2 linked regions of the Tribolium castaneum genome follow. The protein of the gene in region 1 purifies or fractionates together with the protein of each later gene. This does not show direct contact. Links are inferred from orthologs where the notes say so. Each region holds a gene or a part of one and is shown in the gene's direction. Other genes may lie near its edges.

Evidence for each region.
Region 2: the proteins of aprataxin and PNK-like factor (region 1) and DNAlig3 purify together in Homo sapiens (affinity purification with mass spectrometry; 3 studies listed by BioGRID and IntAct, counting the BioPlex papers as one, with this or other methods). This does not show direct contact. The link is inferred for Tribolium castaneum from reciprocal best matches to the Homo sapiens genes APLF and LIG3.

The regions. Positions count from the first base shown.
Region 1 is NC_087396.1:16,125,746-16,129,516, forward strand, and holds aprataxin and PNK-like factor, read left to right. Parts: upstream 1-1,669; 5' UTR 1,670-1,783; coding exon 1,784-1,876; intron 1,877-1,926; coding exon 1,927-1,998; intron 1,999-2,050; coding exon 2,051-2,762; intron 2,763-2,868; coding exon 2,869-3,101; 3' UTR 3,102-3,133; downstream 3,134-3,771. Other genes in the region: Afti (proteoglycan 4), read right to left, coding at 1-27, 77-999, 1,047-1,170; transmembrane protein 222, read left to right, coding at 3,364-3,771. UniProt on the Homo sapiens protein: Histone chaperone involved in single-strand and double-strand DNA break repair.
Region 2 is NC_087397.1:11,971,907-11,976,211, reverse strand, and holds DNAlig3 (DNA ligase 3), read left to right. Parts: upstream 1-1,358; 5' UTR 1,359-1,493; intron 1,494-1,539; exon of another isoform or gene 1,540-1,545; coding exon 1,546-4,107; 3' UTR 4,108-4,138; downstream 4,139-4,305. Other genes in the region: DNA ligase 3, read right to left, coding at 1-907. UniProt on the Homo sapiens protein: Isoform 3 functions as a heterodimer with DNA-repair protein XRCC1 in the nucleus and can correct defective DNA strand-break repair and sister chromatid exchange following treatment with ionizing radiation and alkylating agents.

The DNA.
Region 1 (3,771 bases):
CGAACCGTTCCAAGCGGGGCCATACAACTAAAATTGACTCAATTAAACCAAATTTAACCACGTTCACGTGCCTCACGATATTTCTTGTATCGATATTCAATGATTTAAGGAACATTTTCTGGCTGTTTGACTTCGACCACTGATACACCAGAGCGTTAGTTTCCGTAACATCCTTCAGTTCGTCAAAAATGCGATTTTCTGTTGTGTAATCAGCAGCGACGCAATCGTCACTGTCTTGTTCGATATCGGGGAAAAATTCCTTCAAAATTGCTTCGCTTTTTTCAAGAGCATTTTTCACGTCAATCTCGGGAAGAGTCGACTTTTCGCAACTTTGCGAAAAATCGCCGAATTCTGACGATTCAAAATCGCCGAAATCGTCATCTTCTTTACTCTGTTGCGGAGGTTCAACAAAATCGTCGAATTCGTCGTCTGATGCCTCCTTATCGTTACTAAAATGGTTTTCAAAGTCGCCGAAATCGTCTTCAGTTGATTTTTGTTCACTTTCAGACACTTTGAGACTGACTGAGGACTCGCTCAGATCGTTCTCACATTTGTCGTTAATCTCTTCAGAGAAGTAATCCTCAGATTTAATCTCATTACTTTCAGAAATGTCATTTGTCTTTTCACTAAAAGCCTCAAATAGATTTTCGTCATTGCTGAGGCTATTTACTCCATTTTCTACTTGAGTTTCATTTGGTAGAGTACATTGAAGATCAGCGAAATCATCATCTTCAATTTTTTGGTCATTAAAGTCGGCCTCAAAGCCATTTATTTCATCAATTTGTTCACTAGAATTGACTTTGATCTCAGCATCTAAGCTTTTTCTCCTGTCTTGAAAATCTTTACTGACTTCCTCACACACTACGGAGTCTTCTACGTTCTCAGTTGGCATTTCTTGTGTGTTTTTTTGGCTCTTGTTGCTATTTATATCTAAACTGACTTTGGAAAGGTCGGTTTTCAGTTCTGAGGATTTTTGTGGTGAAGGTGGTAAAGAGAAATCTATGATTTATTGTTATTATAATTGAAAAGAGGGCAACAAAATTTACCATCACAGTCAAACGAATCAGCAGCGGCCCGAAAATCCCCAAATTCGTCGTCGTCATCCTCGTCAAGTGGTCCTACAATTGGAGGTGGTGAACTGCTCAAAAGCGGCGGAATCAAATTCGACATCTGCGAAGATGCAATTATTGCTAAATCTAATTACAACACCGACCTTGAATATTACAATAAACGTGATGCAAAATAATTAACTACCTGAATGAGAAATGATGGAAAATATGTCACCTGTGTTGAATAATAAAACAACCAAATTTATGTTTCTCGAACACTCTTAAATTAACAACGACCAACCACCAAGCACCGCACAATTTGCAATCAGTTGGAACGTCCTGGCTGTTAGTTATTCACTTTAAGACGCAAATTTATTTTTTTAACACAAATGACAACCAGCCATTTTGACGTTACTAATTACATGTCATTGTCAAATGTGGGGATTTTTGTTTTTAGATCGTTGAGATTGGCATTATACTTATTTTTTTAATTATTTTATTTAATTTAATTTTTTTTTTACATTAATTTAAACATTATTCTAATGTAAATTGTACTGAAATATAAAATAACATAAAAACTTCTAGTGTGAATGCATTTCTTTTAAATCAAATAGAAAAAGTCAAATTCCGCGCCAATTATGTGACGTAAAAACTTCAAGGTTAATTCAAGTTACGACTTGTTTATTTTTTATTACAATTTTTAGAATAAATCTTCTACACAGTCGAATTTTGCAATGTTTGTGGAAGTTCAAAGACTAGGCGAAGAAGAAATTTTAAATAGATTTCCCTTGGGGGCCCATGTTTTAGGGCGCGGTCCTGCTTTACAGGTAATGACACTAGCCTTGCCCTAAAATTTTGCTAAATCTATAAATTTCAGTGCAACGACAAGCGAGTATCACGAAATCACGCAACTTTGGAAGTTACACCAGATCACGTTAAACTCACTTCTGTATGGCCTTTTGATTGCGTTTTAACTTTGATTGTTTACAAACTAATTGCAGATACATGTCAATCCTTGTTTTCTCAAAGCCGCAGAAAGCAAAACTCTAACCATTCTCAAAAAAGATACAAGCACGCAACTGAATGATGGTGACAGTTTTGCGTTTCTTGCTGAAGATCACTGGTTTAAAATCAACATTGTCCATGAAGATTTAAATGAAGAAAGGGCTGATAATGGTGCAATTAAAAGTGAGGCGGTGGTCAAACGGCCACATGAAAGTCCGGAAGAGGAAATACCACCAGAAAAAAAGATCAAAATTGAAGAAGGTGAAACTAATGAAGAAGTTCCACCAAATCCAGAGATTAATATTGGAGAAAATGAAGAAATAAAAATGGAAATAACGAGTGAATTAGATATAACTGACTCAGAAATAAAAGTCGAACCGTCAACTTCCATTCAAGATGAAGAAATCTCGACTAACGTTCCTGAAAATGAAGAACAAGGGTCTGAAGAAATGAAGAAAGAAGATCCAGATGGTGAAAATCCCGGCACTTCAATCCCGAAACCACGGCGTGAGCGTTGCTGGTATGCAGCCCAGTGCTACCGAAAAAACCCCGTTCACAGACAAGACTTCACCCATCCTGGTGACTCAGACTTTGAGAGTGACCCAGAAGACAACAGACCCTTTTGCACTTACGGCGCCTCTTGTTACAGAAAAAATAAGCAACACAGAAGAGACTTCAAACATCCACTACAACAAGCCCCAGTGAAAAGTAAGAATGTTTGCTGTAATTTATGTATATATTGTAACAAAAAGCCAAAAGATGGTTATGAAGAGTAATAAACATTTTTTATTAATTGGTTTGTTTTATTGGACAGAAAAACGGTCCCGAAAGAAGGTTCAGCGTTTAAATGTGGCCGATAGTCAGGAAATGCGCGAGTTGGATTCCGAGTCTGAGGACGATCCATTTGTTGTTAGTGATGATAGCGAAGAATATGAGGGAGAGTCAGATGATGATGACACAGATTGGGAAGACTCGCAAAATGCGGATGAGGACAGCGAAAATGTTAAGAGACTGGTCAAGGAAGCGAAAAAATTTGTAAATAAATAAATAGTTTCAATAAAATATATATATTTTTTTAACTGTATGAGTTTAAATTTATGCGCCTCTTCTAATAACAAGCACTTGCAATTCGTGCGTAGTTACCTTCTAAAAATGCAGTGGGTCAAATTAATCGTCAATAACTTTGTAGTGTAAGCATTAACAAGAACCAGCTGATCGCCTGTATTATTCACAATTTGACAGATCAACACTGGTTTATAGGTTAGGTCACAAGTGGGGCTAAAAATGCAAAATTTTGCGGCTTAATAACATGGCAAGCCCTGAAAGTGGCGACATGGCACAGTTCGGCGAAATCGACAAGTCCCGCGACCGCTACCCTTGCTGCATAGTCTGGACCCCAATCCCGTTCCTGACCTGGCTTTTCCCCATTATTGGGCACATGGGGATAGCCCTGTCCTCGGGGGTTATCCGGGATTTTGCCGGCCCTTACTACGTTTCCGAAGACGACATGGCCTTCGGCCGCCCTACTAAGTACTGGCAGCTGAAACCGTCACTGGCACACGGGGGAATTTCCGGCTGGGACCGTGCAGTTACTGAAGCTTCAGAAATTTATAGCGGACGTATGCACAATTTATGCTGCGATAATTGTCACTCTCACGTTGCCACCGCGCTTAATCTGATGCAATATGATGATTCGAAAAGTTGGAATATGGTGAAA
Region 2 (4,305 bases), on another chromosome or scaffold:
CGCTCATCCTTAAGTCGTGTTTGATCAAGCGAATGACCACTTTCAAGTCATTCGCTGTGCACTTTTTGATGAAAGTTTTGAAGCGGTTGCACTGATCTTCTTCCTTGGACAGCGTGGTCAAGGATTCCAGAAAATCGTCCACTTCAAAGAGGCTCAAGGTGCTTTTTTTCGCCGGTTTACACTCGGCGTTTTCTTCGAAGAAATGTTGGATGGTCTGGCCCACATCGCCCTGTTCCAAGTGAGCAGTCATTGTTTCTTCACTAACCGCGAAAATCTTGCTAAATATTTTAATCAGTTGCTTGGTCTGCAAGTGAAACACGCGTTTGTTCACCGCAGGGAGGAGCAGTTTGCACCAGAGAACGACATCGCCCTTAAAACCGCTCCCGTCGCAACCTTTCGTGAAAATCTCGCGGAAAATGCTGATTTTTTCGTTGGAACTTGACACCTTCGGGAGCTTCGACACGATCCTGCGAAACTCGCGGAAACAATTATCCTTGTGAACCTCCTCAGTCGTGCAATTATCAGATAAATTACTCAAATTGTCGTCGACGACAAGCTGCGGCTGCGGCTTGGTCCCCTTTTTCGGTCTTTTTTTACTAAACTTGGCTTCAAATTCCCGGTTACATTGCGAGATCTTTTCCAAGATATTCACTTTATCGTCGGGGTCGAGTGACTCCCAGCCGTCGATGTCCAGGGGGCCCTCGATTCTTTTAGTTGTTTGTCTCTGTTTTAAAAATGTTTCAAAGATACAGCTTACGTGGTACCAAGTTTTCATTTTACCGGAACCCAGAGGGTTCGGGATTAATTTAGCAATGCGCAAATCGCCTTGAACGCACTTCTGGCGGCATTTTTTGCAAAGGGCGCGCCCTTGCCTGGCCACCTCCACGGCGAAGGGCTTCTCCTCCATCTGGAAGTTAAACTATGTAAGACTCACACAAAAAGGCAACAAACACGCATTCCCATTAAGGGCCGGTTTATACAAAGCTTTGTTAAAATTTAATTCGTTGTTAAAGTTAACAACACAAATGGACCAATCAAATTTGTTCAATTTGGTCACGTGATCAGTTAATCACGCTTTTAATTGCAGATTAAATTAATGACACTTCTATACACCGGTCCTTAATAAGCGGCAAAAAATTATTCAAATATTAAGGATAAACAAATTTTAGTATATTTAAGCTCGCCCAGGTGGCAGGTTATGTCCAATGATAACAGAAATGATAAAGATAGGTATTGAAAATAAATTGTTGTAGGGAGAATGATTTGTTATTTCAATAAAGTATTGTTTAATGGTTAAATGAGTCGTTTTAATTATAAAATACCTTTCTTTTTCCTCAAAAACTGGCAACAACACTAACAGCTGATCAGTTCAACGGTTACACGTTACCCACTGTACAAACCTATTTATTTATTTTATTTTAGCGAAACAATAAAGTTTACGTCTTTGCCTTGCATTTGATTTAATTCTTCCAGGTCTTTTTTCTGCACTGAAGGTATAAGTTTATCAAAAATTGAGTATAGTGTGTTACATAACCTCACTTTTAGATGTCAGATGAGCTTGTTGAAAAGCCTTTTCTGGTGGAAGTCGCAAAGCAGGGGCGTGCTGTTTGTAAAAAATGCAAGCAGAAGTGTGCCCAGGGCGAGTTGCGCATTGCCAAATTGGTTGCCAACCCCTTTGGAGAAGGAAAAATGAAAAACTGGCATCATGTCAATTGCCTTTTCGAAGTTTTCTTGAAGCAGAGACCCACAACTAAACGAATTGATGACCCTGTTGAGGATATCGACGGCTGGGTGTTGCTAGATGACGAGCAAAAGAGCGATATTTTGAAGCGTGTCGAGGAATGTAACAGTTTTTTTGAAACTAAACATGGGGTTAAGCCTAGTCCGAAGAAAACGCCTCAGGAGGCAAAACCCAGTACTAGTAGTAAAGACAGTTCGGGTCCAGTTATCCAGTTTGATCCGTCACACAAGGACAATCAATTTCGGGAATTCCGGAGAGTTGTGGCCGATATTAGCAACGTCAGTAGTTATCTTGAAAAGACAAGTATTGTGAGTAAAATGTTCACAAAAGGGAGCGACGGGACGGGCTTTAAGGGCGATATCGTCCTTTGGTGCCGCTTGCTCCTCCCTGGTTTCGTCAAACGCATCTACAACCTCCAAAGCAAACAGTTGGTTAAGTTATTTAGCAAGATTTTCCATTGCGATCAAGACGCAATGTTGGAGCATTTGGAACAGGGGGATGTCAGTGAGACGATTCAGGTCTTCTACGAGAGGAGTAAATCGTTTAAACCGGTCAAGAAAAGTACCCTAACCCTCCAACAAGTGGATGAGTTCCTTCAAGACCTCACTAACTTGACCAAAGAAGAGGAACAAACAGCACATTTGAAAACTTTTGCGTCCAAATGCACCGCAAATGACCTAAAAATCGTCATTCGATTGATCAAACACGATCTTCGGATGAACGCAGGGGCGAAACATATTCTGGATGGGGTACATCCTGACGCTTATCAAGCCTTCCAGTCTTCGAGGGATATCAAGGCTGTTATTGATCGTTGCTTGAAAGACAAGGGCACCAAAGCCAGAATCGAGCTAATGACCCCGGTACTACCCATGCTTGCGGAAGCCTGCAAATCGGTGGAGCAAGCCATGAAGAAGTGCCCCAACGGAATGTACTCCGAGATTAAATACGACGGTGAGAGGGTACAAGTGCACAAACAAGGCTCCGAATTTAAGTACTTTTCGAGGAGTTTAAAGCCGGTATTGCCACACAAAGTCGCACATTTTAAAAACTATATCCCTCAGGCGTTTCCGCACGGAACGGATTTGATCCTTGATAGTGAAATCCTAATGATTGATACACAAACTGGTAAGCCGCTCCCGTTTGGTACTTTGGGGATCCACAAAAAATCCGAGTTTAAAGACGCCAGTGTGTGTCTTTTTGTCTTCGATTGTATTTACTACAATGGGGATGTCCTCACCGATAAACCCATCTCGTTCAGGAAGAAGATCCTGAAAGAGAATATGACGGAAATCCCCAACCATATAGTCTTCTCAGAGATGGAGGAAATCCACGATCCGAACGATTTGACTCAAATGATCGCCAAAGTGCTCAAGCTCGGGCTTGAGGGCTTGGTGCTCAAAGACATAACGAGTGTTTATGAGCCGGGCAAGCGACATTGGCTCAAAGTCAAAAAGGATTACCTTTTTGGGGGCGCGATGGCCGACAGTGCCGATTTAATAGTCCTAGGTGCGTGGTACGGTACTGGGAAAAAAGGGGGCATCATGTCGATTTTCCTAATGGGTTGCTACGACGAAGCCAATGATCGGTTTTGCACCGTGTCAAAGGTGTCAACCGGACACGATGATAAAACCCTCGAGAAGTTGCAAACAGAGCTTGATATGGTCAAAATCAGCTCGGATCCAGCCAAGGTACCCGATTGGTTGCATTGTACCAAAACAATGGTTCCCGATTTCGTGGCACGGGACCCGAAAAAACAACCCGTTTGGGAGATAACCGGAGCGGAATTCACCAAACACGAGGTGCATACGGCTGATGGTATCTCGATAAGGTTCCCTCGGGTTACGAAAATAAGGGACGATAAGTGTTGGCAGTCAGCAACTTCGCTCAAAGAACTCAAAGTATTGTTTGCCAAATCGAAGGAACATACCGATGTTAGTTTACTTCTACAAGGGACGGCTGAATCTTCGCCTAAGAAACAGAAAACTTTGGAAAGCTTTGTCAAAAAAAGGGGTTCAGAGGATCCGCAATCGTCAAACTCTAAGAAAGTTAAAAAGGAACCGAAAACTGTAAAAATAATAAATCCACTACCGGACTATTTTCACAATATTAAGGTAGTGTTGGAAGACAAAGTGAGAGAAAAACAGTGGGATTTGATTAGGTACTTTATTGCGTACGGTGGCCAAATTTGTAAACATGGAGAATCGGAAAATGCCACTCATATGATACATTTGAACAGTATGGTACCTGAAATTGATCAGTGTAACCCGGACGTTAAACATGTTACCGTTGATTGGATTAAAAACTGTGTGGTTAATGAAAGTGTGTGTGATTATAGACCGTTTGTTGTACGCTGGAAGCCCAGTTAATTATTTATTGAATAAAATCTTCCTGAACAGATATTTGGTTATTTATCTTCGCAAAAATTATATTATATACAAAATGTTCCGTTTAAACCCCACATTAGAAGTATTGGAAGTTCTAAAAAAGATAGGCATCTGAAAATTTGTGTACAATTATAATCTTTTAGGTCCTGCTCCATGAAAATATTTTCAAGATGGCAGGCA